3 linked regions of the Lepisosteus oculatus genome follow. The protein of the gene in region 2 purifies or fractionates together with the protein of the main gene of each other region. This does not show direct contact. Links are inferred from orthologs where the notes say so. Each region holds a gene or a part of one and is shown on either strand. Other genes may lie near its edges.

Region 1 (10,222 bases), on a different chromosome or scaffold from region 2:
TGATGTCACATCATATGACAATTGTGGGTGAAGTTTATGTTCAAAGTTTTGTGTCACATCCTCTGCTTTTAGAGAACATCTTTGCCAGATGCTGTATGCTGAGTCTCTTTCTTCTGCAATGTACAGGTGTATTCATTTCTGAAATGCCAAGCACATGTGTTAAGGACTCAATTGATTCTTCATACCATGTGCCCAGTGTTCATTTTTACCTCTAAGGGATAGAACACTGCATGTGCAGCTGCCCCAGAGATGCAGCCAAGCCCAAATCTCTGCTGCACAGTCAGCTCACCTTCTGAAACTTCCCCAAGAATCTTCACCTGCCAAGACACCCATTAAAAGACATTGTGCAGCTTAACCCTCTGTTTTCTAGAGTTAACAATGCAGAATTGCACCGCAGTAGACAAGAGTATTTTTACACAGAACAAATGAAACCATCATCGATGTCTTGCTCATACTGTCAGTGTTCTGTAACAGAAGGAGATGTCCGGAGTGCACATACAGACCCCATGCAGAAGGTAGCCCTGGCCAGGACCTAAGACCTGTGAGGCAGCAGCTCCAACCAGTGCACACAAGGCAAGAATAACTGCTGCATTCAGGAGAAAGTACTGTACTGCCCTACTCTAATGATCAGCACCATGATAAAGCATTCATATTTAAATGCAAACTTTCTTAAAATCATTCCCAAGTCTGTTACGATGCAGTGCTGTGACATTTTGTCTTGTGCAATACAGTGTACAGTAAATGCAATACGTACCCGGTTGTATATCAAACACTGGAGAGTTGACTGGGGGGTGCCTTTCATCACATTCACTGCATTCCCCTGCCACATCGACTTGATACCGCCTGCTCGTATCTCCCTGAGCCCATGTGATACTGCCCCAGAACCATACACCTAAACAAAGGCAAAGTGACCAGCTGGTGATCTGCTCCTTCACATTTCAAACGGTCCTGAAAAAGCTATTGATAAACAACACTTCTCATGCAAACAATCTCCCAGATGGGCTAAAGAGGAGTCCAAAGGCACTGGCCTGTCAACTAATTCAGTACACCCCACGCAACAAGAAAAACACACGGTGCGTCACTGCAGCTCAATGCAGCGCATCTGTGTGCGTGCACTGAAAGGCATCGCACTCAATTACCTGAAGCTGAATTTTTATTCGATCGATTGGCGCAGTGACGGTCCTGGACACCGCGTCTGCTATTCCTCCAGCTAAAATGTACTTCTTCCAGGCTCCAGAGTCTGTCTCCTCCCGTGTGAAGTCCATGGGCAGAGGCCGGCTTTCTCCCACGTCGAACACCTGTTGACACGGCACGAGATTTTACATACGTCAGCCATCGCAGTCCATCTCTATCCTGGAGACTCGGGATCTCTGGCCTGTGGGAGGGGAACAACTGTGGCAGCAGGAGGCACAAAGGGACAGCAGGGTGGGACATGACACAAGAAGACTACTGGACTGCATTCAGAATGCTTATGAAGTTATTTTTGCCTGTGGAGACAAATTGATGAGGAAAAATGGACGAGGTGAACCAATCACATTTGGTGAAGATACAGTGTATACTGAACTAAAAACACATTCCAGTGACAGTACACATGAGATACTAACAAGAGCAGCAGTCCCACAGAGGATGGGTCCTAGGATATAGAGTTCTCTGCATGTCTGTTGTCATACCTCTGGTGAATACCTTCTTTGTTCATGGCAGGATAGAAGCTCGTCCATGGCTGTGTTTGTATGTACTGTATGCCAAACTGAATTGCTCCACAGTGCAGTTTTCACAGTCCACTTGCATATACACTATATACTGTATGTACAGTATAATTAGGCAAAGTAAGACTACACTGACTTCCTTTGCGATTAGGAACAAGGTGCTTCACAATGTAGCCCTTACCATGCTGCGCTTCCAAGAAGAAACAAGCTCTGCAATGTCCTCAGCGGGGTTTAAAATGATGTGCTGCAGAAATTCATTCCAGTCCACTGTCATGGAGTTGTCACAGTCCATCCTATGAGAAACCATGAGAAACCATGAAGGAAATCTCCTCAAGTGTTGCTACTACATGACTACAGGTTGTTGTTTATTAAAAGCGTTTATTCTGTGGCACTATGCACATAAAATATATTGTTTTATTCTGCTATGGCAACTACTGTAACTGTACGTTTAAACTTTATTTATTATATAAACTATATTATATGTCATTAAGGTGTTCGGTTATGTGCTGTAATTGCTGTATTATGTTTACATTTCCATAGACATTGATTATGGCATTACAATAGCATTACAATATTACATAAGCTTTATGAAACATATTTTTCCCCAGGTTTTATGTGCATACAGGAGAATTTTTGTAACACAAAAGACGCCTTTAGCACCAAACATGTGTTCTATGCTTCGTAACTGATGGATCAAAGGCAATAAATCTTTTATAGCAGTCAAATATTAAAAAGTGGCAACAGATCTTACATTTGTATTATTTTCTTTGCATGTTGCTTTGAAATGACCACTCCTAACTCCTTAAACAAATCTATGATATCTTCCTGGTCAATGACCCCTAGTCACAGAGAAGAAATGAATATGAATACAAAACAGTTGAGCAAAAATCTCAAGACAGAAATCTTCCTTTTGCTGTTTGCCCTTGGAACGAACTGTGTCCTTTGGAAAGGGTCTTTTTTTTTTCTAGGACGAAGGGGTAATAAATACCAGATCCCACTGCAGCAGGAAATAACACAACTGTATTGACGGATGGCGAGATACATGATGATTGATATTTAATTAAGTAGCTTGCTGGGATATGCCCTGGCTCTCCAGGAACCCAGAATTGGATGAAGTGGTTAGAAAATGGACAGATGGACGTTTAAAGAGATCTGGACTGCAGTTGTGCCCCTCTGGTTTTGACTAAAGCACCAACAATTTTAACTCCAACCCCCCGCCGGCAAATTACACTTTCTTCACTTTTGCACAACCTGTACAGAATCGTTCAAACGTCACCAACTCACCGCAGTTGTTTTTGTCAAGGACTTGAAAGTTTATTTTCCATTTCTTCTCCCTGTCCATCATGTAGGTCAGGAACTCCTCGTAATCTAAACGCCCGTCGTTATTCAGGTCATAGTCGCCTAGGATAGCCTGGAATGGCACAATTTAAAAAGCGCAGACACGACATGGGATTAACCTTCACACCTGGCAGGAAAATACCGTGTGTCAAGGTCGGCATTCAGCAATTCATACCTGAGCCTTCTCCTCTGCGGCCGAAACTCCGATTTTCTTCATTTCTTTGCGGAGCTCATCTACGGCGATGAAACCATCGCTATTGGCATCTAGTCGAAGGAACAGGCTGCGGAACTGCTGCGTGCTTCGCAAAGGAAATAACAGTTATCATTAGAGATATGTCTCATCATAACACTCGAGATGCTGAGTAGCAAAAGGCGTGCAAATTAAAAATTAAAATTATTGTTCATCGCGCAGGTGTAGCGTACCCTTTGGGTGACGGATGCTGAGTCATCTTCGGAGAGGCTGAATAGCAATTTTTCGTCTTCAGTGCCGCAGCCAGGTCCAGCTCAGTCAACGCGATCCCTGTGAATACCGAGTGCTCTTGCCCCGATCGGACGGCAGGGGGCACTGTGTGGAGAACTGGGGAAGGTCCCGGGCAGCCTGCTGGTGAGTCTCCCAGGTGAGGGCCGGCTACGGAAGCCTGTTAGCGCCATGGAGGAAACAAATGTTTATTGCGTTCAAACGAGACAACATTGCGTTTAGTAGTAGGTCGCAATTGCAAAACATAATATGTTTTTTTTTTAGAACAGCAGAGCTTATGGATGTGAAGAAACGTTGACCTAGTTTAAAACCCTCTTCTTCAGAAAAGCCTTTACTGAACTGGTTCCATTCTTCACCCCTCTGCTTTTCCTAGTACCACCATCCACGGTCTCCTCTCTATATTGTAACTGTGTTGTATCTTGTGTATTCTTCTTATTTATTGTTGTTGTCATCCTGTAAAGCGCTTTGAGAAGCCACCTTAAAAGGCGCTTTATAAAATAAAGTTTACTATTATTATTATTGTTATTATTATTATTATTATTATTAAGATAAAGTTAGGATATGATGTTAGGACGCAACACATAAAATCTATATATCACTCACCCACAAATGTAGAATTTGCGTTTTTTTTTTAAATGTTGGGATGCATGTACCGTAGTAACTGTAAAACTTCATCCATGATTGTTTTTTTAATGAAGTGAAAAATAAAACAAAACTCGCTGTTTCCCGAATGAAACCACACATCCAGGGCCGATGTCAGTGGAGGAGATGAAATGGTCAATCGTGCTGGCCGTGCTGCTGAGTGATGATGTTGAGCCTAGGTTGCTGCTCACGAGAGGAACAGTTACCAGGAATTAAAATACAGATGTCAAGATGGGATCATGACTACCTTTGACACCGTCAGAGAAGCTTAGAGTGCACATTTTCACAGCGTTGAAGAATCTGTTGTGGGCTTGAGTTACCTGTTAGGGGTGCTGTCATTTTAACATATGGATGGGAAAGGTGAGCCCACCAGATACAGGGTTTACACATCCACCTCATGACTGAGTAGGCACTCTTGAGTAACCTAAAGAATGCGTTAAATGATTTTTCCTTTCAGCAGCTCATTGGCGGATTACACAAAGGGTAGATTGATCTTTTGAGATCGGGGACACCTAAGACTGTACCTGTGCAAATATCTTACTTATATCCTCTGTGACTGGACTGTGCTACTGTAGAAAGGCTCCACCTTTAAATCACCTATAGCTAAAGATCCGTGTCATTGGGATCACCTGGGCATATGATGTGTTAAATTATGTCATCGGGGACCATAATCTGAGTGCCTTTCTCTTAATTGAACAGATCCGTTGTTTATTTCATCAAAAACCTCACATGAGTCTCCGGTGTTTCCAGACGTATGGCGGTCCACCGCTCAGACCCTGGAGCTTTTAAGCATGTCGGAGGCTGGACTGGGACTGGGACCAGTACGTTTTGGACTGCAGGGGGAGACCCACACAAACGAGGGGAGATCCTACAAACCCCCATGTTCACTGAGGGCCTTTGTCAACGTTTCTTTCGGCGTTTCGAGTTCAGGTAAACCCGTCAATCAAAACGATGAAATAATCTAACCTTTGCCTAAAGGAGAGAAAAAAAAAACTTCGGATAGCCTACATCAATTTATTTTTTCTCCCTGCGAACGACTTTTCTAAAAAAGTAAGCTTTATATGGGAAATGACGTGCAATGATCAGCACTTACTACTTTCTAGAAAGAGCCACTGGGTTCCGGCGAGTACCAATAGGGGAGAGAGACGCGGCTATTTAAAGGAGCACGCCGAGAGAGAGAGAGAGACGCACCAGCAAACACAAGGGCATAAGTATCGAAGCAATAAGCTGTACAGACACAAACAGGGCTTGGAGGAGAGTGAATATCCCCGATTTCAAGAGCGGCAGCACCCGGCTAGCATCTGCTGTCCACCACCGCTCTCTGCCTGCCAGCGGCTGCTATAAAGCGGGTTTATATCCTTAGGATATCGCGGGCTCCCGGGCTGCGCGGAAAATGGGGAAGGACTACTACAAGATCTTGGGGATCCAGAGGGGGGCATCGGACGAGGACGTCAAGAAGGCGTACCGCAAACAAGCCCTGAAATGGCACCCCGATAAAAACACGGCCGCGAACGCGGAGGAGAAATTCAAGGAAATCGCGGAGGCGTACGAGGTCCTTAGCGACCCCAAGAAGAGAGAGATCTACGACCAGTTTGGCGAAGAAGGTGAGGTTATATATATATAAATATCTCGTATGTGGAGATGTTGCCAACGCAACTCCCTCCCCGTTTCGGTGTGGTTTGTTGTTACCGGATCGTTTTAATTGCATTTCAGGATTAGAAATACTTTCGGAGTTTTTTTGGGGGGGTTTTGTTTCTCCTTTTACATCCAAGCCTGTCCGTTTCCCTTGATTTGAGCCGCACAAGATAAAACGCCGCAGAGCGGAAACATTGATTAAACCGCACTTCGCCAACAGCAGGAGGAAAACCGGCTTTTTTTTCAATTTAATGTGGTTTTGCCGTTTTTCAAGGGGGGAGGCACAACACGGCAATAAAATATCCTGTCAGGAGAACGTCGTAGAATGATCCCGAAGGATCAGAGCGTGTATCCCACCCTGTTTAGCAACAGTAAAAGGACACAACTGGCCGGGGTCCCTGGAATGGGACCCACAGGCTGTTTATTTCGGGGGTGTTATGTTGGAGCTTGCTGGCTGGTGCTGCTGCTGGTGGCCGAGCGGAAAGCTGTAGCGGTTTGCGTAGCTGGATCATACATCTCGCCGCCGCTCTCTCGGATCTGGGGGAAACGCGTCTCGTCTTCTCTGGGAAAGAGGGTAGTTTCCCCCCCTTGTACTGGCGAAGACCATCAATCAGAATAAAGTCCGAGATAGGAGGACAGTAGCTCCCAGATCTCCATCGTCACCCCCCAAAGACTGTTCCCCGCGTACTGGTGTTCCTCTTGTGTCCAGTAATATACAGTATACCCGACTTGCCTTCTTATCGTAGAAGTACTTGAGCGTCTTTACCTCCCAGGGTCAGAAGTGTGTTCTGGGAGTAAAGTAAGTCTTCAGCCACTCCCGGCAGGTGATGAAAGAATTGGTGGCTCACTGCAGCGAGGTTTAATGTTTCTTTATTTTAATGTTTCTTTTGTAGCGTATTGCAGGTTCTTTCTCAGAACTAAAGAACAGTGGAGACGCGATTAACCAAGCACTGGCTTTATTTTACAACCACACCAAAACCAAACACAGGATCTACACAAACATGAGGAGTCTGACGAACACGTACACACATTTAGGGTGGTAATTACCTAACAACACACTCTACTTTTACAGGACTACACAGGGCACTAGAATTACTAGGACATTATTTACACAGGCAGGGTCAGCCGCTGGTCATCGTGCTGACCCTCAGACTCTTCCCGGCTACCACTCCCAGCATGCCCAGCGGTACTACGAGCGCCTAGGGGCGCTTCCTCCTCACCACCAGGCGAGGGCGTTACACTGCCCCCACCTGAAGCGTCTGGCGTCTCGCCGACGTCGAACACCCCCCTCAGGCTGTACTCGTATTCGGCCAACTGCTGCGGAACCCTGCGTGAGCGGCCGCTGCGCCGCGGTGACGGCTGGCGATCCACGGACGCCCCACTATCGGCCGGCTCCGGCCCCGGCTGCTCCTCTGGAGCCTCCCCACACGGCTCCTCCTCCCGGGCCCGGTAGGGGGCCAGGCGGTCTCGGTGCAGGACCACCACTCTCCCCCGTGTTCGCAACCGGACACGGTAGCAGACCTCGCCCACCACCCCGAGTACCTCAGCGGGCCCCTCCCACGACGGCGCCAGCTTAGGACTGAGGCCTTTGCGGCGCCGCGGGTTGTACACCCAAACCGAGTCCCCGGGCTGGAAGGCAGGCCCCCTGCAGCGCAGGTCGTAGTACCGCTTCTGCCGGACCCCCGCCTGTGTCAGGTGGGTCCGTGCAAAGCTGTGCACCCGCTGCATCCGCTGCCGCAGGTCCCACTCGTAGTCCGGTCCAGCCGGCGGTGCCGACCCGTCTCCGGGCGGCAGGCCGAAGACCAGGTCCACCGGTGTTCGCATTTCCCGGCCCAGCATGAGCGAGGCCGGGGTGCACCCGGTGGATTCCTGGACCGCGGTCCGATACGCCCAGAGCGCAAGGGGGAGGTGGCGGTCCCAGTCCCGTTGGTGCCGGGACACCAGGGTGGCCAGCTGGGTGGCGAGCGTCCGATTAAACCGCTCTACCAACCCGTCGCTCTGGGGATGCAGCGGGGTGGTCCGCGTCTTAGTAATCCCCAGGCGCTGGCACACTCTGGCGAAGACCTGGGACTCGAAGTTACGCCCCTGGTCACTGTGTAACTCCTCCGGCACCCCCAGCCTGGCAAACATCCCCTCCAGCAGTGCATCGGCCACCGTGGGGGCACTCTGGTCCGGGAGGGCGTAGGCCTCCGGCCACTTCGTAAAGTAATCCATAGCCACCAAGACGTAGCGGTTCCCGGCCTCGGTGCGCGGAAACGGGCCCAAAACGTCCACTCCCACCCGCTCCATAGGAGCCCCCACCTGGTGTTGTTGGAGGGGGGCCCGAGAGCGCTCGGGGGGACCCTTCTGCGCCACGCACACCGCACACGTTCGGCAGTACCGATCCACGTCCCGGTGGCAAAGACCCCAATAAAAATGGCCTCGGAGACGCTGCAGGGTTTTTTTACCGCCGAAGTGCCCCACACCCGGTTGGCCGTGCACCGCTCGGAGCACCGCCCCGCGGAGCGACCGAGGCACCACCAGCTGCCACCGTACCTCGCCACTGGAGGGTACCCGCCACCCCCGGCGCAGCACCCCGTCCTTTACCTCCAAGGCCTCCCACAGGGCGCAGAGGGCCTTGACGGACTTCGGGTGCGGGGCGAGCTCCTCTCGTGTAGGCCGCACTCCTGCTGCCCTCCAGCGGAGCACCGGGCCCACGTCAGGATCAGCTGCCTGACGCTGCGCCAGGTCTGGCAGGCCCACCCCCAGCGGCCCCTCCCGGGCCGTGGCCGCGGCGCTCACCCCCGCCACGGTGCGGACAGCCTCCTCACGCTGCTCCCGCCGGGCGCAGTGATGGCAGTCCGCGGCCTCGCAGGGGCGCCGCGAGAGAGCGTCGGCATTGAGATGGCGAGACCCCGCACGGTGCACGACAGTGAAGTCGTACTCCTGCAGGATCTCTATCCATCGCGCCATCTGTCCCTCTGGCTCCTTAAAGTGGAGCAGCCAGGTGAGGGACGCATGGTCGGTCCTCAGCCGGAACCGGGTCCCGAACAGGTACGGCCTGAAGTGGTGGACCGCCGCCATCACCGCCAGCAGCTCGCGACGGGTCACGCAGTAGTTCCGCTCAGGCCTAGTCAGAGCCCGGCTATAGTAAGCCACTACGCGCTCCCCATCCGGCCCCTCCTGCGCCAACACCGCCCCCACCCCCGAGTCACTCGCGTCGGTGTCGAGAATATACGGCAACCGCGGGTCGGGGTAGGCCAGCACGGGGGCCCCCACCAGAGCTTCGCGCAACCGGCCAAAGGCAGTCTCACAGCCCGAGTCCCAGTCAAAACGGCGGCCCTTGTCGGTGAGGCGGTGCAGCGGGGCGGCGATGCTGGCAAAGTCCCGGACGAACCTCCGATAGTACGAGGCCAACCCCAGAAAGCTGCGGAGCTCCGCGACGGTGCGTGGAGTCGGCCAGCCCCTCACTGCGGCGACCTTACCTGGGTCCGTAGCCACCCCTCGCGGTCCAACAACATGTCCCAGGAAGGTCACCTCCCGCCGCAGGAGCTCGCACTTGCGGGGGTTGAGCCTCAGGCCAGCACGGCGGATGCAGGCCAGCACCGCCTGGAGGTTCGTCAAGGCCTGGTCAAAACTCCGTGCATGAACCAGCAGATCGTCCAGATATAACACGCACTGGTTCCGCGGGACCGATGCCAGCACCCTCTCCATCAGCCTCTCGAACGTCGCCGGGGCATTGCACAGGCCAAAAGGCATGACAGTAAACTGCCAGAGGCCCTGGCCGATGGAAAAGGCCGTCTTCGGGCGAGCATCGGGAGCAAGCGGTACCTGCCAGTAGCCGCAGCGGAGGTCCAGGGAGCTGAACCAGGTCGACCCGGTGATGTAGTCCAGGGCGTCATCTATCCTCGGCAGGGGGTAGGAATCTTTCCGGGTGACCTCATTCAGCTTGCGGTAGTTGACGCAGAACCTCCACGAGCCGTCTTTTTTTTTAACCAGTACGGCTGGCGCCGACCACGGGCTCGCGGAGGGCTCAATCACCCCCGCTGCGGCCATCTCCCGGATCTTTTCCTCGGCGGCGGTCCGCTTGGCGTGGACCATGCGTCCTGGTGGGATGCGGATGGGCCGAGCGTCGCCGGTGTTGATCTCGTGTTGGACCAGGGCAGTGCGGGTGCAGTCCTCATCCCTCGCCGCAAAGAGGTCTTCGTTCTGGGCGAGTAGCTGCTGGAGCCGCTGCCGCTGGTCCTGATCGAGGCCCTCGCAGCTCCGCTGGAAGAGGTCCTCAACGGCACGCTTCGCTTCCACGCAACGCTCGGCCCCCGCCGCCGCCTTGTCTGGCCCCCCGGCCGACTCAGGGGCAGGATCCGGCACGCTCGCTCCCCGGCTCGCAGGCCTGGTCTGCCCCGGCGACTGACGCCGCCGCCGCCGCCGCTGCCTCTTGTTC
Region 2 (10,567 bases):
AATGATATAAGTAGTTGTGACACATAAAAAGCAATTTTTCAATGCATTAAGACAAGGGGATACAATGATGATAACACAAAATGTTTCGTAACAAAAACAAAAGGGGATTGTTCCTCTCATGAAGTCAGAGGTCACACACCTTATCCTCACAAAGAATTGCTAAGATTTATAGTTCTCTTTCAACTCTACACATCTATCCACCCAGTATCTGCAAATGTTTTTTTTTTCCTTAGTGTCATCAGAGTCCTAAGTCTTGTTTACCTAAATTTACACCCAGGAGGGTTGATAACTGTGCAACCAGTGGCTAAAGTCTGACTATAAGTTTAAAGACAAAATTAACCAATAAACACACCAGCTTTCCCATGTCAACAGCAACACTGAAGGGGAAAAACAGCTGAGTTAGCTTTGCTTGACTTACTTGAAGCAACAGCAATTCATTTTAATATGAATATTAATTTCTAGAATTGTAAATGCAATCTGCGCTTGTTTGGACAGCACAGCACTTGATCAAACTCAAAACAACCATCAGTTTGTATTCAGTTCTGCTAAGTAGCCTCACACATGCCATTATCTGTCACATCAAAAACTTATCTGGGACACTGCAGACCAGGCTGATCTGTGGTCTGAGGATGTGAAGCATGCGATGTTCGAATAATGTTTAAATCCAAATTGAACTGAGAAACATGGGGGTGACTGCTGTTGCCTCGTGAGTCTTGGTCCCTGGGTTTGATCCCCAGTATCTGCTGCGGGGAGTTTACTATGGTTTCATAACACCTACCTAACTCACGGCTGGTTGGTTAACTGGCGTCACTAAAATGCACATGTGTAGACAGCCCAAAACAATCAAAGAGGGCTTTCTGGTAATTTTTGGTTGAACATCACAAAGCTAGGCTGCCCTGCCACCTACTGGACAAACATTGTTTTACACACTAAAAAACAAGGGGCCATTCGATCAGGAGGGAAAAGACTTTCGCTCTCCACACCCAAAGTAAGAGTCACGACACGAAAACAGGCCAGGAAAGACCAGTGCTACCACAGACCCTGCTGAAAGACAAATTCTGATTGGCCCAGAACTGCTGGTTCCAGTCCTCCGTTTCCTGCCTCAGGCGCCTCAGCCTGGCTTCCGTGGGGCTTTCCTTCTCAGGGATGTGGAACCTGATTGGCCGGAGGTTAGACAATCCATCCGGAGGACCAATCCAGTCACATCTGCTGCTGGTGGGAGGGGTGAAACCTGACCTCTGTGGAGACAAATACAGGTAAGGTAGTTATGAGAGAGAATCAGAGAGGGCCAAACTACACAAGGCCCATCAGTCTGCAAATTTCAGAAGCCCGACACAGTGGACTGACAAATTGCCCTTTTAACCTCTCATTAAAATTGGTCTAAATATAGCAGACATCACAGGAGAGAGAAAATGTGGTTTTCTTTCACGCCAATCCAATACCTAAAGCGGACTTCTGGCATGTACTGTTTCTTATCCTGTATTCTATTTTAAGGTCATTGCATAAAAGCATGATTCACAACTGCATGAAACCTCTCTTCCTGACTGCTCTGGTGGATATTCAAGAGATTCAAGGCAGGGAATCACACCTTGCACTGCCAAAGCATCCTGCAGCCACATACAATCTCAGGAGAGAAACATTTAAATGTTAGGAGAGTGTGCAGTACAGGGAGGAGAATCCACTTCAGGAGACTCTTATAAACAAGGTGCAGCTCCGTGCTGAAACGAGTTATTATTAAACGCATTTTCAGTTAAAAGTTCACAAGCTAAAAACACTACTTTTTTTAATCTTTCGGAATACCCAGTGGCTTGGAAATGTGTCTGGTCGGATGAGTAGAGAACAATTAAAATCTGCAGACATTGCTTGCTGTATAGGGAAGATGCATCTCAGGAGACTCTTGAAATAAACAATGTGTCTGTAAGAGATGTTAATCACACTGCAATACTGTAATAAAGAGGTTTTTAACTTCAGGGTGACTAAAACTACAGTACTTCTGCAGAGCGATATATCTTAAACACTGATGCATTCAATGTGCTCACAACCATTTATTAATTTCCAAGATATGAAAAAGCGATGTTATGTCGTAAAATAAAAATATATACAGCGTATACTGGACTTCACCATTCCCACCTCGCCTGGCCTCTTCTCCTGTTTAACGGGCTCTCTTTCACTGCTGTATCTCAGTCGTCCCGACAAAACACCTGCTGCATACCGGGAATACGTCAGTTTACCGTGATGGAGCGATCGCCACGTCCGAATTCCTGACAATTTTATACTCATCTCTGCCTTATTCCTTCAAACCTCTTCTCCACTCGCTGACCTCTTCCAGAAGCAACTTAACCCACGAACTTGAGCCCCACGTGACTACCCCGTGAACTTAAGAGGCTGGACAACAAAATCCTTACGCGGAAATCCAGCGCCCCCTTGCACTTGTAACCATCCACAATCACGAGTTTCGTTTTATCGTGCAAATTCAAGAGTTTTGGTGGAGTTTACACTATATATTGCATTATCAGTAGTGGGTTGATTTTTTTTTATGAATTCAAAACAACTTGTATAGCACAAAGCAAATATGTCGAAAACAATGACGCGAGTTGTTGTTTAAAACGACAAGATTAAAAGTGGAAGGTGTGTAAATGGGGTTAGAGAGGGGTACGTTTTCAATTCTTTTCGAGGTGATTTGCGGAGAGTAATTGTCTCTTTCAAAGATATTTACTGCGGCGACAGCGAGGGTGATACTGTCTCACATCAGGGTCCATGGAACTTCGGGATTTCTACACTTGGACCGTTCCGTGTGCGGACCTCTGTCGTGACGTCACTCGGCCGGCCCGACTCTTCTCCCGGCAGTGGAGCCGTGCGATGAGGATTGTTGTGCGTTTCTCTCTCCTCCCCTACCGATCTGATGGCTGTCCGCTGGTTATGCAGGTAAGACGCACACCGCTACCCTTGACCCCTTTCTTTGGTACGGAATACCTCAAGCGTAAATTGCTGGAATTGCCTTTTTTGTTTTTACTCATGGGTGAGGTTGTTACCGCCGCTGTCAGTCAGTTCTTTCTCAGCCTTTCTCGAAATTCTTACTGTTGACAAAGGATTTGAAAGGACCTGCTGTTATCAGTAAAAAAAAGATGTAGCAGTGTCAGTTAAGGATGATTTCGGATTTTGTAAAGCGATCAAGGGTGCCCATCGGAGACGTTTTCCAACAGGTCTAGTGCTGACAGTGTGATACACGTTTCGCTTCAGCGAGGTGTTGCTATTTGAATTTGAGCCGAGCTCTGCTACAGAAAACGTAAGGGCAGTGCCATTGTTTTTAGGCAGTGAGAATGCACCGTACGGTAGATATGCAATACCGTGGCTACTTACCCGTCCGGGACAGATTCACAGCTGTCATCCGCTTATCGTTAAGAAAAAAAAATGGTTCAGGTTGTGCGGAGCAGGGCGCCTCTTACAAACTGCACAGGTTGAAGCCATCCTTTCGCTATAGGGCCAGAGATTTGATTTCGTGCCGCTCGGTGCACCTGTCGCCCAGAGAGGTGATGGTGCTGTAGGAGATGAGCTTGGTGGCACTAAGATTTTCACCTGCATGACGGCCTCGATAGCCCCCTCCGAGGCCTCTGGTGTTGGAGAGAGCGTTAATTGTGCTTTGGCAGCGCTGTGAATTTATCGGCCATGCCCTTGAGTTTGAATTTGAGAGCACATGCGTTAGGGTTTCAGTCGGTTGTCAATCAGTATGTCACAACAACCATTTTGACGTAACCTTTACAGATGACACTACGATAAAAAAAAGCGAACTACTGGCGTTATCAAAGTAAGAAAGAGATGCGCTACAAAACAGAAAACTAAGGGTGTCTTAATGTTTGTGCGCGGTAACAGGGTAGCCCTTAACCAATCAATGACGAGCCGAGGTAATAACGAGAAAATTCGTTTATATATGAAGACTTTAATGAAGTATTCCTCAGAGCGCATTAGCAATAACTCATTAAGTGCCACCAAATGTAATTACCTTTGTGTTTTCTGTCTGGGCAGCATGCACGTTTCCGCGGAGGAAAATGGAAGTTAAAGCTTTAGGAAGCTACATCGTTTCTTAAGCAGTGCTCACAGATGATCTCGCTGTGCCTTTTTAAAAAAAAACTCGATCGTCTTCAGAACGAGTCCTGAACTGGTGGACAGCAGTTTAGATCTTGTTGTCTGTCTGATAAAAAATGTCAGAGCTTCACTAGCGAGAAGAGGAATGAAGATCATCTTTAACGAGTTTAAAATTGAAAACGTTTACATGACGTCCTCTTTTTCAGTCCTGTTGTAACCTTTTACAAGCAGCCTCATCTATCTCAGTGTTTTCCATTTTGTTTTTGTTTTGTTTTTTGCTGCCTGCACGCAGAATCCTGCACTTGTCTTGTGTGAACAAGCTGCAGTTGGGCAATATTGTGCCTGAAGCAGTATTGATAGACTTCAGAGGAAGTTGCGGATTACGATTGCGGAGGTTGAGGTGAAGACCTTACAGTGTCTCTGTGAATGAAGGTGCAGTAGTTCTACGACTTTCTTACTGACTGTGAAACTCCGGATGGGTGGTAGCAGAAGTGGTGTTCATGTGGCCATACTCCATGGGATTTGTGCGTTCAGTGATCTGAACATCGTTTCTAACCTACTGTTACGCGGACACATCCGTGGACACAGTACGGTAGTGTGACTGCTGGTTATTCGGGGCTCTTGGGTTTGATTCCAGTATGGGCTCCCCTCCAGGTCCAGTCTGCACATTCCCTCTCCATGTCCACATTGGGTTTTCATCAATACCCATTTCCTCCCACCTTCCGAAGACAGGCTGATGAGGTCACGAGGTGTCTGCAAGCCCTGCCTCCATGTGGGTCTACCTGGTGATGGCCTAGACTGGGGTTTAAGCTATAGTCCCATATTGCACCCTGGGCTCCCAGGACAAATCCCGGGTTGCATCAGCCACGTTTTCTGGTAATGGACGGATAGATAGATAAATCCATCCCCTGTGTCCTCTTCTCAGCTGCGGGGAGGTGAACGTTTGACCATTAAATGCCAACCAAGCATCATCCTCCATGTCTTCAGAGTTCACTAGGGGTCGGAGGTAAGCGGGATTCAGCGCCATCGATTCGTGAGCGAGCAGGCCGTCGCTGGGACTGAATTAGGGACGCGTGTGTACCGCAGGAATGGCGAATATTTCTAGCGGGCATTATTCTATCGCTCCCCCTGAATTCTTGATTGAAGTGCCAGTTTTAATTGAGGTTGTGATGGCATCGAGCGTATATTTAAAAAGCCTTGGTGCTACTTTGTGGGTTCTCTCTATCCATGCATGCTCCTATTCCTCCTGTCAGGTTTGCACTCGTGGAATATTACTGGGAGGCATCCGAGTGGAAATGTAACTGTTCCTGGTTGTCTTTCCACGCTATCTGAGGTGTGCGGGGCAGGTTGCAGCGATAAAGGTTGGCGAGACAGCCGTTTGAATTACTTTGTGATTCTGAGCGTCTCCATCACCTGCTGTTCATGCATCCCATCAGGACGCCAGGTGCGATATCACAGTGCTGGCACATGACCCGCACGAGGAGAGTAAGAGAATTCCCTCTCTCTGCCACTGACAGGTTTTTGGTGCTAGGAGTCAGATGCTGTTCACGCGTGTCAGCTCTGTTGTACAAAGTGACATGCAGTATGGTGATTGTGGAGGGGGAGAAACTGTGGATTCCTGCAGGAGAGGTGTGGAATAAGTATTTTTGGGTTGATGTCTTTTAGGTAATATTATATTTATTTACAATTTTTTAATGTTTGTTTGTACTATCCATCCGTATTGTAAGTTTCTGTGTGTGCAAAACATAGCTGCTTGGATGCAAAAAAAAATAGTGAGACATGAGGCGATCAATTATTCCTGTCTCACATGAACAGATAGGCAAAACCAAGATTCTTTACATTTTAAACATGACCACAATGCCAGTTCCTTGCTCTCTTGTTAAACAAGCGTCCTTTCAAAGGAATGTTTATAAATACATTAAATACATTGCCAAACAGGACACGTGATCCTTGTGGGTGGGGTCACATGCTCACACACAGACACCCACACGGTGTGAACTGTGAATGGGGCAGGTGACGGGGACGCTGTCTCCTTTAAGACGGCAGAAAACGAGGAACAAATCTTTTATGACATCAAAGACTCGCATCATCGGCAGACTGGCAGCTGCAGTGGAGCCTGCCAGGAAAGTGCTCTTCAGTCCCCAGAACCCTCGCAGTGTCAACACGGCCACATAACCTGCTTATCTGGGAATGGGCATGCCTGTGGTCACGGAGCAGCGGAATGCTCTGGAGCGTCTGGAGGACTATTCCGAGCCTTAGTGTTTCCCACTGGGAGCTGGGAGATCTCTAGCACAAGATTTCTAACGCAAATTAGCCTGCTTCATCTGCCAGCATATCCACCACGTTTGTAAGTAATTCCGTTTTTAGGTTTCTTTTTATAAGATTCCCGGATGGCGGGGGCGACGGGACTGCCTTTGATGTTCCCAGGCAGCGAAGTATCTGGGGTTGGGAAAGTAAAAAAAAAAAAGCTAAGCTGAACAGAATACCATTTTTTTCTTCGAAATGGGGGAAAGAAACAACAGCGAGGCAAGTGGGTTCCAGGGTGTGAACATGTTCCTCGTCGAATGCAGGAGATCGGATTGCTAAACAAAGAGTGGGCTGGTTTGTAATCTGCGTTCAGGGGTTCGGCGAGGAGCATTCCTTTGGCTGGGATGGTGAAAGTGTTTGGTGGGGCTGTTTTAATCCTATTTCGATGTTAGGTGTGGCGGCTTCTCTTGGGGGAGGGATTGTGTACTGAGCCATAAATCCCAGCCAGAGAGTTATTTGCGCAAAAGCTGTGATGTAATCCCCGTATCCACAGAGGTACAAAGGTGTGTATCGCTCTGGCTGTATGTTATCTCTAATGGGAACTAAACAGACATGTCTTCTCAAGGTTAGAGCGCTTTCCCTTTGTTCAAAACAGGATGGTTTTGTTTTTAATCAATCGCCGTATTTCCTACCAAACAAAATCTTTAGATGATATTTCGATATCGCTCTTCCCCGTGAGGCAGTATGATGGTTTACTCACCTAGACAGATGTTGCCCACCCTTGTGAAAAACAGGGTGATGCAGGCCTCTGAAGTAGTAGGTTGCTTGTAATCTGTTAAAAAATAGATAAATGCTCAAATTAACGTACTCCCGGGAAGTTAGTTGCCCCCTCTTTAGCCTCTCTGTCTTTACTGCATCATCCCACCCATCAGCTATTTTCTATAGCCCTGGAGGGCAGTGGTGGGCAGACACGGGGGCCAGGCAGGGCAGGAAACACCCTGGAACACACACACACACACACACGCACACACACGCACACACACGCACACACGCACACACGCACACACGCACGTACAGGGGCGATTTAGAGATGCCAGTTCACCTGGACTGTGGGGTCTTTGGACTGTTGGGGGGGGGAGAACTGAATACTCCACACGGAAGATGCCTCCGTCTGGAATCTGACCCAGGAGCTGGGAGGCAACTGCGCTCTCTGCCGCAGAGTTTTTTTTTTTTTTTTTTAAGCCCCTCCAGCTTCTGCACGGGGCTCCCGTTGTAGTTTGCCGCGAACGCTGTTGTGGTGACCCCCCCTGCCCCCCCCTCCCCTTCTCCGCAGCCTGTTTGGAAAGCCCTTTGATGGTGGGAAGCGCATGGAGACGGGCGGCCAGCATCCTGGCCTGCAGCGGCTGCAGGAGGTCCAGCGGGAGGTGCAGGGCCTGGGCAAGCAGGTGGGCTCCTTCAGCGGCCTGCAGAGCGACCGCGAGTACCGGCGGCTGGAGCGCGAGCTGACCCGCCAGCTGCTGGAGGTGGACGCGGTGGACACGGAGGGCAAGGCCGAGGTCCAGCAGGCCCGGAAGCGGGCGGCCCAGGAGGTGGAGGGGCTGCTCCGGCTCCTGGAGGAGAACTCGGCCCACCCCTCCCGCCTGGCCATCGAGGGGCTGAGCCAGGAGGCCCAGCGGCTGGTGGAGGCCGGGGTGCTGGAGCCCCAGAGGGCGGGCGCCGGGGAGATCAGCGACGAGCTGGTGGAGAGCCTGCAGGACCTGGTCCTGCGGCTGACCCAGGTGAAGACGGGCGGGAGGGTGCCCCTGCGCAAGGCCCGGTACCGGGCGCTGACCCGCGTGTGCGCCGTGCAGGACGTGATCGAGGGGCGCACCCGCCGGCAGACCCTGCCCCTGCCGCTGTCCGAGGACACCCACGCGGCCGTGCAGAGGATCAACATGGTGATGGCCAGGGTGAGCCAGGCGCGCAGCGAGCTCATCGCCCTGCTGATGGGCCTGGGCGACGGGGACAGCTGCGCGCACCTCGCCCGCGTGCTCACCGAGCTCCTGGTGGAGCTGGACGCCCTGGACGTGTCGGGGAACGCCGCCGTGAGGAACTACCGCAAGCAGGTGGTGGAGGAGATCCACGGGCTCCTGAAGCACCTGGACCTGGAGGGAGAAGGGGACGACACGTGCAGGTATGAGCCAAAACGACACAAAAGCCAGATCAGTGCAGAGATCCAGATCTCCTTCTGAATTCACTTTCTCATTTCAGACCTGTGCATGAAGGAAATACCTTCAGAATTGCAATACCGGGAACTGTTTTCTTATCCATGCTTGCAAGAATAATTCTCTACTAGCCAAGTTCCTCTTTTCTGCACTTGTGTGCGATAATAGTATTAATGATAATGATGAACAGAGAAGAAAGAAAACACAACGTTTCGTATTGCAGCTGAAGAAGGCTCCGAAACGTTGTGTTTTCTTTTTTTCAGCATGGAATAAACCCATTACTTGTTTCTTTGCAGCCTACGCATGCTGACACAATGGTAATGATAAGAATAAAAATTGATGATAATGACGATAGCAAGAATCTAATCTTTTTACCCCAAGCAAACAGTTAAGCGTTGAATTTAAGCTCTCCGGTTGGCTCTCCCGCTGCTGGCGCTCTTGCAGGTACGACCTGGCCCAGAACGACTCGATCCAGCAGATCGAGGTGCTGCGCGGCCGCGTGGCTCAGCTGCGCCGGCAGCTGATCAGCCAGGACAGCCCCGGGGAGCTCGGCTTCAAACCCAAGGCGGAGCTGCAGGGGTTCCTGACGCAACTGGACGAGGTCAGCACGGCGCGCAACCCCTGCATCCGCGAGGCGCGCCGCCGCGCTGTGCTGGAGGTGCAGGCCGTCATCACCTACATCGACCTGCGGGAGGCGCTGGTGAGGCGGCTGCCCACCGCCGAGGAGCACCCCTCGCAACGCGCCGTGTGGCAGGTGCTGGCCAGCCTCTCCGAGCTGCAGGGGCAGGTGCTCAGCTTCGACGGCAAGCGAGCCGACAAGAGCTACATGGTGCTGGAGGAGATGCTGACCAAGCAGCTGCTGGCCCTGGACGCGGTGGACCCGCAGGGGGACGAGATGTCGAAGGTCGCCCGCAAGCAGGCCGTGAAGTTCGCCCAGAACATCCTCGGCTACCTGGACATGAAGACGGACGAATGGGAGTACTGACCGCGGCCACTTGCGGTGGTCTGTCTCTCTCGTTTGGTTCGCAGTCCTCTCTCCCCTCATCTTCATATCGCAAAGAGATGGATCAGGCTGCAGGAGGACATGACGGAACTAACTGGTTTGTGGCTGGGGATGGTAACATGATGATGACGTCTTTGTTGCTGTTACAAGATTCAGGGGAAACATCTGGCTCTGGAAAGAGGCTGTTTTTTTTTTTATTCCAACTTTATTTCGACAGACATGAATACAAGCAAATTGTTCCTCAGCGTTAAGAGTTCCATAAATCTCCAGTCCGTTCCGAAAGACTGCGTTTTTTAATTGTGGCGTTAGTGTGGTGCTCTAACCCATGAACAGAAGTGTGACGTGGAGCTTCTAAGCGTTTCTCTTTCTGTCTGTCTGTTTGGTCAAAAAAAAAAAGTCGTCGTGAGATATACAATTGTGATCTGGTGTAAAACTGTTAGAAAAAACACAAAGAGGGGAAAGAGGAGGAATTCCATATCTTCAGAACCTTTACAGGGAAAGCATATCAGTTTTGGGGGGAAACAAATCAGTTCTCCAGCAGAGAAGAGTTAGTTGCTAGTAGCTCTCTGTCTGTTGTTTTAGTTGTACTGGTAGTGAACTTCCCTTTAGTTCATCAGCAGCTCTGCCAGCACATCTCGCCAGTAGCCTGCAGACAAGCCAGCAGATTATGGGGTCTCCGAAGACATGCTCTGAGATCTAATCTACATCCTGTTACCTGAAGGCACAGCAGACTCTAGCAGAACTCTAGCAGAGCCGTTCAAGGTAAATGGAAATTGACTTCCACTTCTTACAGCTTCACAGCCCAAGAGGAGGAGAGGTGAGGGTCATTGTTAGATCTCCAACTTGTGTCTTTACTTCACAGGTGATGTCTCAAGATATGGGTGACTATAACCTCTGTAAGTAATCACCTTCGGAGAAGAGCCGAAGACATGTTAATTCATCTTGAATTTTTTTCTTATGCTTAGTTTAGTCATTACTACAGAGAACTATTGACCAATTCATTTACTAAGCATCTAGACCGCTTTAGTTC
Region 3 (10,980 bases), on a different chromosome or scaffold from region 2:
CTCGGTAAAGAGCAGCGTGACAGCAGTTTCCACCTGTCACTGGGGGAGAAACCTAATCCCTCGTGATCAAAGACCAATGCCAAGGCATCCTTACCTATGGCCTTTGTGTAGTAGTTAAATGCTTCAGTATAATCCTTCTTGATGTAAAAGGCATTTCCTTGTTCTTTAAAGCATTCAGCTTCCCTATAGTCACAAAAAAGAAAAGCATCCATATTAAGTCAGGCAGCACAGTTGGACAGTGGTTAGCATTACTGCTTTGCAGCACTGGGACCCAGAGCTCAAATCCTGGGGTGCTATCTGTGTGGAGTTTGTATGTTCTCCCCATGTTCACATGGGTTTCCTCCCACAGTCCAAAGACATACTGGTAGGTTAACTGGCTACCTGGGAACCCGGTGTGAGTGTGCATGAGGGCACTGTGTTTGTGCCTGTCCTGTATAGTGTCCCCCACAACCCTGAATCGGATGAAGTAGTTAGAAAATGAATGGATGGATTTATATTAAGTCTGTCTACTGAAAACAATGTATTCACATAAGGCTGTAATAAAACTATTAGCAATGTTGTGCTTCAAAGAGGCAACCTACAGGCCTGTGGAAAGTAAGGAAACAGCGCTGATGTCCTTCTATTAGCACTAGGAAAAGGCCAAGGTTCCCCCGAGCCCAGAGCTCATAAAGGTTTTACAAATCAAGAGGCAGAAAGAAAGGATACAGACATGCCTGTCTCATTCTTTTATTGTTGAAAAATCCTAAGAAGCTTCCTTAATGAATGTGGCTTAGCTAGTTTGTCCCAGACACCACATCGGCACAGTGGTGTTAATGTGAACACCAAGCATTTTGCTGTTGTTTTTTTTTGTGTTGAGAGCAGATGTTAAGATGTTAATACAATATTAAAAAAAAATTAAACCTGAAATCCAATCAAAACGTGCAGGATAGAGTCAATTAAAGACCCCTGTTCTCAAGCCACAAGTTGAAAATGGGAGGTTCTCCTTTGATTGTAAAGTTCGGTATTCATCTGCACCACTGCTGACCTTTAAGTGCTAAATTAATGGACACCCAAGCAAGCAGGTGTCCACAGTTATCAAGGATTGCAGCGTCTTCTCTAAGCTTAACCATTCACTTCCCAGCTCACAAGGGCAGTGCTGATTACTGAACTGGGCAACACTTGGAAAAGGACAGTTATCGCTGCATTACAGCTAACCCTATCACTGGATGGCACCATTTTAAGTCCCTCCAACTGACCCATGATCTCAGCTCAATCTACTTTGACTCACTGTCTCATAAAAGGCATGCCTAAGAGTACAATGAGGTTATCTTTGCTTGTGTAAGGCGAATGCAGAAATGTTTTAAACAACCAAGTGTAATGGCTTATAAGGCTAATCATTTTTTAATGTTTCCTGAATGCACCTGTAAAACTAAAGCATAAAACAGTCAGACCAGAACTAGTTCACTGAAAATCAGCTGTCCTTATTCACCAAGATCATTTTAAAATAAAACTAAGAAGGAAAGAGCTGCAACGTTAATAGGAAGCAGTATATTTTACCGATCATATTTCCCAGCCACTTAAGTTGTCCTATTAGAGAAGCTGGACTGGTTCAGCCTTTGGAGTAGCCTTAGAAATCACAGGAAGCTCACAGCACCAACTCTGCCTGTTTGAGCAGTACAGGCTGTAGGTTAAATAGTTTTTTTGTCTCTACTCATTTTTAATTTTTTCAAATCACCACATTTTGGGGAGACAAGAAAACAAACTGGCTGTTGGCATGATTTAATTTGACAGTTACAGGGCTCTACACCTTTTAAATCTCCCCCATGTGCAAATCAACTCCAAAACATGCCTGGCACAAAACTCATTACAGTAGAGCAGGAGAGCAGTGCATTACCCCCCCTCTCTGGGTCTATACATAGAAAGAGCAGGACCAGTCAGGGGAGTGGCCAGCTGGTGTTATCAGTCATGGGGAAGCTTCTAGGGGCTGGTGAATTAACCCCACCGGTTACAAGAGGTGTTATGATGAGGCCGCAGAGACAAAAACTATCAATAGTCACTCTACCCTCCATCCATAACTGTTTTTTTTCCTTCTTCCAGGCCACCAGTCCCTTGGTGCACTGTATCAATTGAAATATAGGTCACCTCTCTGGAACAAACATGCACTGTATTGGCACTGTACTGTGTCACGAGCTAGCCTGAGGAAGCTCTGAGATTACTGCTGAAAATTAAACGCACTCTCCTTCATCATCTAGAGGCGCAGCATCATTACAGAAAGAACCGAGACCTCGCTCTAAAGCGATCCAGAACTATTTATCTCTAAACTGCCCTGCGCAACATCAAAGCAAACCTGGGCAAGTATTATGCAGCTCAGACAGGCCAAGGTCAAATTATATAAGATTTCTAAGGACAGTACTGTGAAATGCAAGTGAGAGCATAATTTTCAAGCATAGATACTGAACCGCATATCACAATTTACAGGAGCTATTTGTAGTGCAATGGTGCTAGAGGTCCATATTGAAGTGCTCCTCTTAAGCCATGCTGTGCAGCTATATTTACACCATGTGAAGTGTCGGATGGCTGGTTAACTTTACACAGTAATGAATATAGATATGAATCGAAATGAATAGATAATTCTGCATGAAGAGTCAAAAGATACAGGCTCGTTGTACCAACACTCAAGTGCTCAAGCACTACACCAAATTCCAAACCACTGCCTTTTAAAAAAAAATAAAGGCAAACAGTGGCATTCTATGACAGTTACAATAGAGAAACACTGTATAAATCACACACTACAGTGGCTCACACTGGCTTGAAGCCTGGAACAAAAAATGCCCCATTTGTGACACCACTATGTCACTGCAAAGCTTTCTGAAACGTTTCTCCAAATGGAGAGGCAATATATGAAACACTAACATCCCTGATCTGATAACGAATCTGTCGCTTTTGTCACAGCATCTCTTCACTGAGAAGATCTCTTTGCATCATGGAGTCTGGAACTGACACCTCCTTCTCTACCCCAAGTCTTCCTCCAGCTTGTCCATTTTTCAGTACAGCAGCAAGACCTCACCAAACAAAAGAAACAAACCCTGGAAGCCCTAAAAACAAAGGATGACCCTGAGCCAGATCTATGGTTTCCGAAGGCCACAAGTGAGACACTAAATTCCACTACTGATTGATTCTGTTCCACAGCGATTACTGAGTAAAGAAGATATGATCGGATTCCCGTCTTGAACTGTAATTGATGTTTTTCCATCAGGCTTTTCCTGTTGGCACAATTCCTATGCCTATGTCACACTAAATACAAGTATGAGCACAACAACAAAACGAGACAGAAGAATCTATTACGTTCTGTCAGAGTGGGACGGTGCCAGTCATTGCCAAGGCATGTATCTATACCATATAAGAGGAATAATGCACAGAAACACATAGTGACTTAATACATCTTCCTGCCATAATATAGCATATCACAGGGAAAGAGCAGAGTGCGTTTCTTCAGGTACTTCGATTCACTCAGTGCTGGGTAGTATGATTGGGCAAGGACTCTGAAGCGCACCTTCGCCACCCACAGTGAGGATCCTGGGTTTGCTTTTCGTACCCGCAATGTAAAAACTACTTAAACGATTTAAGCGCAGGATCGGTGTTCCGTGCTTTTTTGGAGTGACGCTGTATTCCCGGGTTGATTCGTGTGCTGCAGTCAATCTGACGTCCGCCTGGAGCCAGCGGAAATAAGGTCCACTTAAAATCGGTTTCGGTTTTGTTTCAGCTGTCAGGCTTTCGATTTTAGGCTGGTGAGAGCCGACCTCTACAGACTCCCCACCCCCATCTCATCATTCCCGGAGCTGTCCCTCGCCCGCTGCGCTGACCAGCCGGACAACCACGGCGTGCAGCTACTGGGACAGGACGGCGGTGTCCCATTGATACAGTTCCCGAACTAGAAAAAAGTCATAATGTATTGACTGTATGGGAGTTTATAAAGGAAGAGTCTGCAGATCCCAAGTCCCGTTGCCGGAAATTCCTTTCAATGACTCCTCTACAACAAATACTCGACGGATGCCACCAATAAAAACATGCCAATCTACAAACTGGAATATCGCGATTCCAGTTGCTACCGTGTTACCTAAAATGAAGACAGCACATGGAAGAGATCATTCTACTCGGGGACCCGACTTTCCGGGTTCAAACAAAGTGAATTACTTCTCCGCAGAAGGAAGAGGCACCGCTGATACACAAACGACAGCACAACTACAAGCAGGGCGCACAAACAACACTGTTGTCTCACTCGGTCGCTCTGTGCTGTCGCTCTTATTAACTGTCAAGACAGCCGCGCTTGCCAGAGGAGTTTATTTCATGTGTATTTCCAGCTACACGTCTAAAGAAACGTATTTGAGGCCTTCAACACCTCCAGGTAATTTCACTCAGATATTGTGGGAGACGACAGAACGAATTACACAAAGTGACCCATTTCCCCCTTTTTATAACGAAACGAGACCGGCTAGCACTGGAAAATCCAATACTTGCCAAAGACGTATACAACAACCTGACCTAAAACTATCCGATTTATTTAATAACAAATGATTCGTTTTATCAAGACGACTATGTAACGCCACTCAAAACACCTTCGCGGAAATGTCGGGTTTCCTTTGTTGTTTTATTCAAATAATTGTTTACATCTCGGACTGCGTAGACAACGCCGTTGTTTTTATTCTTGTGTAAAAGACGGCCGCTGAAAGCAGATTTCCAACCCCGGCGGCTGACCGGGTCTCGCTGAAGAGACACCGGGACGGATCCCCATGCCCGCGTCCTAGGGTGTAGGCCTCAAGCAGTCCGGCAAAACTTGGCTCAAGAACCACATACGAGCCTTATCTGTTAATGTACGGTCTATCCCCAAGAGCGTCACGGCGCTAGCGACTACCGACTGAAATAAATATCCACGTTGTACCTCGCCAGCTCCTCTTCGTTCATTATTTGCGGCTCTGGATCCATGATCACATCGCAGTCAACAGCGTCCATGTTACTGCCGGGGAAGAGAAGACAGACACTTCCGGGAACCGTAGAAATCACCGAGCGCTAGAGCGGCCTGCGGCAAAGACCCATTTCCTCTCCTTTTTGGGAGGGAGAGAGTCGAGCCCGCACGGCCGCTACACGCCGACGTGAAAAGGCGCAAACAGCGCCTCCAGTGGCGGCGCCAGGCTCCAACATCCCTTCAGATTCAGACTTGATTATCCGCCGGTGGAGCTGTGTTCGGAGTCCAACACAACAATACAGCATAACAGCCGTCACCAACCGACACCAGATCAGGGCAAACATGACTAAAACTCTATGAAAACCATGACGAAAATAAAATGTGAAATTCCGTAGGGTAGGAACGGTTTCCAGGCGACGCTTAAGAACAGTGGTTAGCATTGGTGCCTGGGTTCAGTTCCTGTGGAGTTTGTATGTTCTCCCCTGTTCGTGTAGGTTTCCTCTGGGTGCTCCAGTTTCCCCCCACAGGCCACAGAAGTACTGGCAGACTTGTTGGCTTCTGGGGAAATTGGCCCTGGTGTGAGCGAGTATCTGTGTGTCTCTTGTGATGGACTTGTGTCCCGTCCAGGGTGACCCTGCCTTGTACCTGTTGTGTAGTAATAATAATAATAATAATAATAATAATAATAATAATAATAATTACACTTATATAGCACTTTTCTGGACACTCCACTCAAAGCGCTTTACAGGTAATGGGGATCGCCTCCACCCCCACCAGTGTGCAGCCCCACCTGGATGATGCGACGGCAGCCATAGTGCGCCAGAACGCTCCCCACACACCAGCTCTCAGTGGGGAGGAGAGCAGAGCGATGAAGCCAGTTCAGAGATGGGGATTATTAGGAGGCTATGACTGGTAAGGGCCAATGAGAAGTTTGGCCAGTACGCTGGGGTTACACCCCTACTCTTTTCGAGAAACGCCCTGGGATTTTTAATGACCACAGAAAGTCAGGACCTTGATTTGACATCTCATCTGATGGATGGCAGCTTTTTTCAGTATAGTGTCCCCATCACTATACTGGGGCTTTAGGACCCACACAGACCTCAGGGTGAGCGCCCCCTGCTGGCCCCACTAACACCTCTTCCAGCAGCAGCCTTAGTTTTTCCCAGGAGTCTCCCATCCAGGTACTGACCAGGCTCACACCTGCTGAGCTTCAGTGGGCTGCCAGTTGTGAGTTGCTGGGTGACACGGCTGCTGGTTATTATTATTATTATTATTATTATTATTGAAGCTTATATATAAAAATGATTGGATTTGTTATAACCTGCGCACAATCACAAATTCCGCTAGAAATCGTAACGCCCTCCGGTCGACAGGGGTCGCTCTTGGTTACGATCCCAGGTTGCTCCTGTAACCAGCCCATCGATTCGCAGCCTGTGGGTTGGGTTAGTGCCTACGCAAATTGTAAACAGGAAATCGCCGCGGTTGTCTGCCTCTGCACTTTAACAGTACAGTATTTTCAATTATTTTAATATAGTTTTGCATTTTTGTTCCTTTTTAAAATGTGTTTTTAAACGAGTGTAAGCGCGCTTTTTTCCCCGTCGCGGTGTTTTATAGCTTGGCCGTGGTTATTTTACATCACTTTTTGTGAAATGATGAAATTTTACCCTGAAATGATGTTTCAGTTAAGATGTAATAAATGCAACCTCTTTTAAACTTAATTGCACTGGTTTATGCAGTACTATTTAATCTCTGGGAATATCAAGAGAAATTTGCTGGGGAGCGTTTTGACTCTTACTTTTATGTTGTAAAAGTCAGGAAGATGTAATAAAGAGAACTGCTTGCCTGCAAAACTGTATTTTTCAACGGCGCCTGAAATACATCCATCTGAAATAACGCAGTGTGCAGTTCTGTATTGTAGCTCCTCGTCTAGTTGCTCTTATTAAATGGACGATAGCTGTTCCGTGCATTCGCTGTCAGAAAGCCACTTATTCCTGGTTTAGGAATGGAGAATAAAGTACAGCCACTCCGCTTTACACAGTGGTGCACCGTGTTCCTGGTGTAATGTAAGATTGTGGTGGAAGCCGGCAGTGTTACATCTCTTTTCCGAGACTGGCGGCAGCTTTTCAAAATTCAACAGGTTGGGCCCGTCTCGTTATAGCAGTATCGTCTTGAAAACGAAAAGAAATGTGACCGTTTCTACGTAGATCGAGGCTGGGAGACATGCTGAAGACGGTGCTGAAAGCTAGCGCAGTGCTCGTGTATTTGACATTTACAATAACCGCGTGTAAAAGGTCTTAAATAGAGACAAAAAGATCAATGTTTACCGCTAATGCAGATGGCTAATCTAGAACGAGCAAGTCATACCGATCCGAAAAAAAGGAGAGGATGGGGCTTTGTTGAAATTTTTTTTCTTGTTTTGTTGATATCGTGTAGACGCCAGCGGACTATGGGAAAGAGCTGTAAGGTCGTGGTGTGCGGACTGGCCAGCGTCGGTAAAACCGCTGTGCTGGAACATGTGCTGTACGCCAACCATGTCGTCGGTAAGTAACCGCGACCTGGTCTGTCGGGGATTTTCACAAATTCTGTCTCGGGACCTTGAATCAAGTTTTCAAAACCCCCCAGGGAATTAACAAAGTCAGCGCAGTGGGCTTGTTCAAAATCGAGAGCTCAAACCGGAGGACACAGGTGAAAACTCCGGGGAAGAGCATTTAAAACCAAGAACAGGAGACAATTTTTACACGATGCGTTGTGAGAGTATTAAGACTCGCAGTAGTTTTGTTTAAGCTAATCCTCTGGATCCTTTCTGGAAAACGGAAGAGATCCTTGTGCCTAGTAGTAATGCAGCTAGATGAGCCAAGTGGTCTCCTATGATTAGTAAACATTTTTATATTCTTATATTCTTTATTATCAAACTTCAGGTTCACTGTAATGACTCATTCTATTGTTGCAATTCCCAAATAATTATTTTCTTGAACCTCAAAAACATATTTTCTATATATTTCTGTGCCCTGTTCAAAGAAAAGACATTTCAATGTGATTTTTGTTTTCATTTTCATTGCGATTACCTGTAACTGTAATGATCATATCATCAACTGACTGTAACCAAAATCTCACCACTGGAGTCACATAACTGGCAGAGCAATGCCAGGGGTAGCTCTTGTGACTCTTTGTGATGTCACAGAGAGATGCCTCTCCTCCCCTCCAGACCAGCCCTGCCGTCAGGCATGGTGGCTCTTGTAGAGTGGTCAGCTCGTCCGCCTTTCCTCATCCCTCCCTGTGCACAGTAGAGGAATCTTTGCAGTGAGTGGCGATACACGGAAACAGCTGTAGGTTTCAGACTGGCTGGGTGTAGCTAAAAACCATAATAATAATTGCGACGGCAATGAAAGAACCACTCTGTCTGTCCGTGCAGGCTCCGAGCCCATGGAGACTCTTGAAGATATTTACATCGGGTCCATTGAGACGGACCGCGGGGTCCGGGAGCAGGTGCGCTTCTACGACACCCGCGGGCTGAGGGAGGGCATGGAGTTTCCTCGCCACTACTACACCTTTGCCGATGGCTTTGTGCTGGTGTACAGCATCGACAGCAAGGAGTCCTTCCGACGCGTGGAGGCCCTCAAGAAGGACATTGACAGGCACAGGGACAAGAAGGAGGTATGACCCTCACCTGTCCCTTTGTATGTGATGGATGCAGTAGCTTTGCCCTTGCATAGGGAGCCAGTTGGTATGCTCATGCTTTCAGTTGTATGTCTTCAAGATAAACAGGAAAAAAAAAACCACAAAGCAGAGAACACAGCAGAAACAAAGGTTTATTTAAGGTTTTTAATAGGAAACACTTACAGGCCAAGGGTTTGAGTTTCTGGAACACAAACCTCTGCCTTGTTGGTGAAGACAGTACTCTGGCTTTCTTCAAGTCACAGCTGGATAAGATCCTTGGGTCAGTCAACGATTTAGGCCTCCTCTTAACTGAGAAATTTCTTACGTTCAGAACAGGAGTAAATGAGAAAATAAATAAATAAATAACAATAGCAGGATTATTGAATAATACATATTCTGCTTACTCTTTCTGCTTGTAAGAAGTTCTGATTGAGCCACATGAAATGAAGGGAGATGTTCGGGGCTCTGTGCGCTCTGCTGGGGTGTAGCGTCGGTCAGTGGTGTGTTGTTGAGAGGCACAGCAGTGTACAGGTTCCACTCCCACAGTCCTTATCATGGTGCTTCTCCACAGGTGACTATTGTGGTGCTGGGGAACAAGTGCGACCTGCAGGACCAGAGGAGAGTGGACAGCGAGGCCGCGCAGCAGTGGGCCAAGGCTGAGAAGGTGCGGCTCTGGGAGGTGTCGGTGGCGGACCGGCGCACCTTGATCGAGCCCTTCGTCTACCTGGCCAGCAAGATGACCCAGCCGCAGAGCAAGTCCACTTTCCCGCTGAGTCGCAACAAGAACAAGGGCAGTGGCTCCCTGGACAGCTGAGTGCATGGACCCAGCAGGACCGGACTGAGAGCTTTCGGGAGAGGCCGGGGCGAGCGGGTCAGAACTCTAGAACCACAACACAAGATAAGGAAGGTAATTTCCAGGACACAGGACATTGGAAATGCTAAACTGAGTACAAGCAATTGGCAAAACAAAACTAAATTTTGTGTTTTACCCAATTCCCTCCTGTTTATTTTCTTGGTGAATTAATCTCTTAGTTTGTGAATTGTGAATGGGGTGGTGTGCAAAAGTGTTTATCCCACTGTGGTGTCGGAACAGCAAGGGCTCCAAAGCAACACTTGACAGGATTCTGGCAAATCCTGTATTACCTGTGTTATTTAGAAATCCACACAACCATTTATTTTCTTTATCTGAAAGGAAACTAAAAAGCATTTCCCTTTGCAGATTAAGGACTGAATAATTTAAAACTGACTAGAAAGAGTGAGTTATTTGTTTCCCTTATTGCTAACAATTAAGTTGCTTGTTTTAAGCTTTCTCTAACCACTCTGCTTGTTTCCCAAAGTGCCTGATCCCTTTGTGTCCATCAGGCAACAGTAGTTTGTGGTTAGGCTTCATACGCCAGGCACCATTCCAGATTTCAAACCACTTTTTCCATAGCCATTGGCGCTTGGGGCTTTTTCAGTGTTGCTTCTTTCCTGTTCAGCTCATTGCTGTTAAGAAGCATTTTAAATTATACATTAACGGACCCAAGTGTTGTAAAATGTCCATTTATGTCAAAACAATAAATAGGAAATTGTTACACAGGTTTGTTAAGCAGATTTTGAAGTGTAGATTTATTTTTTTTTATAAGTGTGACGTGTGATTCTGCATCTCATCTTCTGTTTAATCTTCTGTTGGGGTATTTTTTATTTAAAAGCAGAGAAGGGAGTGATGGCTCAATAGCAATGTAGGAATTACATAGGAATTCCTGAAATTCTTTATCCCATTAAAAACGTTTTCCACCGTTTTCTCATTTTACATCTTTTATGTCTTTAGATAAACACTCTTTTTCTTTAATAGATTATTTAAAACCACTTTCTAATTTTGTATATTTTCTTTTTTTTGTCTAAGAAAACTGTTTCTGTCAGCTGCAACTGTTGCTCTCTCTGGACTGAATGTGCTGAACCCTCTTGTAGTGCTGGGAATATGACTTGTCCCCTGGGCTCACTTTACTAAAAAAGGCAATCAGGTATTCACCCAGCGTACTACTTTTCAAAGAGAGAGGGAGAGAGCTTGATCGATGTTTGTGTTTTTCTTTTCTGGGAAAATATACCACAGACTCACGCATTTCCATTCACAAAGATTAATCATACCACATACAACTGCAATTTAACTGCTGCATGACAGTTACAATAAATCAGTGAAATGTTATTTAGATCCCACATATGAGAAGTACAAATTAAATTATTTTTTTCCAGTGCTTTTTGTTGTATGCGCCTGTTTAAGAAGAGCCAGTTGTGGGTTTCTCGGCTCTCAGCTGCAAACTTAGCAAACGCACACAGGGAATCCTGCAGGAGGGTCCTCTGAGAGGGGGTCAAGAAAGCCGACTAATCACATTATCCCTTGG

Evidence for each region.
Region 1: the proteins of bag5 (region 2) and dnajb4 purify together in Homo sapiens (affinity purification with mass spectrometry; 4 studies listed by BioGRID and IntAct, with this or other methods). This does not show direct contact. The link is inferred for Lepisosteus oculatus from reciprocal best matches to the Homo sapiens genes BAG5 and DNAJB4.
Region 3: the proteins of bag5 (region 2) and dnajc7 purify together in Homo sapiens (affinity purification with mass spectrometry; 4 studies listed by BioGRID and IntAct, with this or other methods). This does not show direct contact. The link is inferred for Lepisosteus oculatus from reciprocal best matches to the Homo sapiens genes BAG5 and DNAJC7.

What each region holds. Positions count from the first base shown.
Region 1 is NC_090704.1:3,703,941-3,714,162, reverse strand, and holds the start of dnajb4 (dnaJ homolog subfamily B member 4), read left to right. Parts: upstream 1-5,298; 5' UTR 5,299-5,557; coding exon 5,558-5,768; intron 5,769-10,222. Other genes in the region: slc25a24l (solute carrier family 25 member 24, like), read right to left, coding at 210-317, 755-892, 1,140-1,298, 1,888-1,999, 2,458-2,545, 2,991-3,117, 3,220-3,343, 3,468-3,493. UniProt on the Homo sapiens protein: Probable chaperone. Stimulates ATP hydrolysis and the folding of unfolded proteins mediated by HSPA1A/B (in vitro).
Region 2 is NC_090703.1:6,903,481-6,914,047, reverse strand, and holds the start of bag5 (BAG family molecular chaperone regulator 5), read left to right. Parts: upstream 1-5,469; 5' UTR 5,470-5,505; coding exon 5,506-5,712; intron 5,713-6,088; exon of another isoform or gene 6,089-6,122; coding exon 6,123-6,430; intron 6,431-7,663; coding exon 7,664-8,503; intron 8,504-8,978; coding exon 8,979-9,519; 3' UTR 9,520-10,567. Other genes in the region: coa8 (cytochrome c oxidase assembly factor 8), read right to left, coding at 1,041-1,238, 2,131-2,280. UniProt on the Homo sapiens protein: Co-chaperone for HSP/HSP70 proteins. It functions as a nucleotide-exchange factor promoting the release of ADP from HSP70, thereby activating HSP70-mediated protein refolding.
Region 3 is NC_090723.1:5,513,867-5,524,846, reverse strand, and holds the start of dnajc7 (dnaJ homolog subfamily C member 7), read right to left. Parts: upstream 5,027-10,980; 5' UTR 4,990-5,026; coding exon 4,919-4,989; intron 184-4,918; coding exon 95-183; intron 1-94. Other genes in the region: nkiras2 (NF-kappa-B inhibitor-interacting Ras-like protein 2), read left to right, coding at 7,389-7,482, 8,355-8,596, 9,171-9,413. UniProt on the Homo sapiens protein: Acts as a co-chaperone regulating the molecular chaperones HSP70 and HSP90 in folding of steroid receptors, such as the glucocorticoid receptor and the progesterone receptor.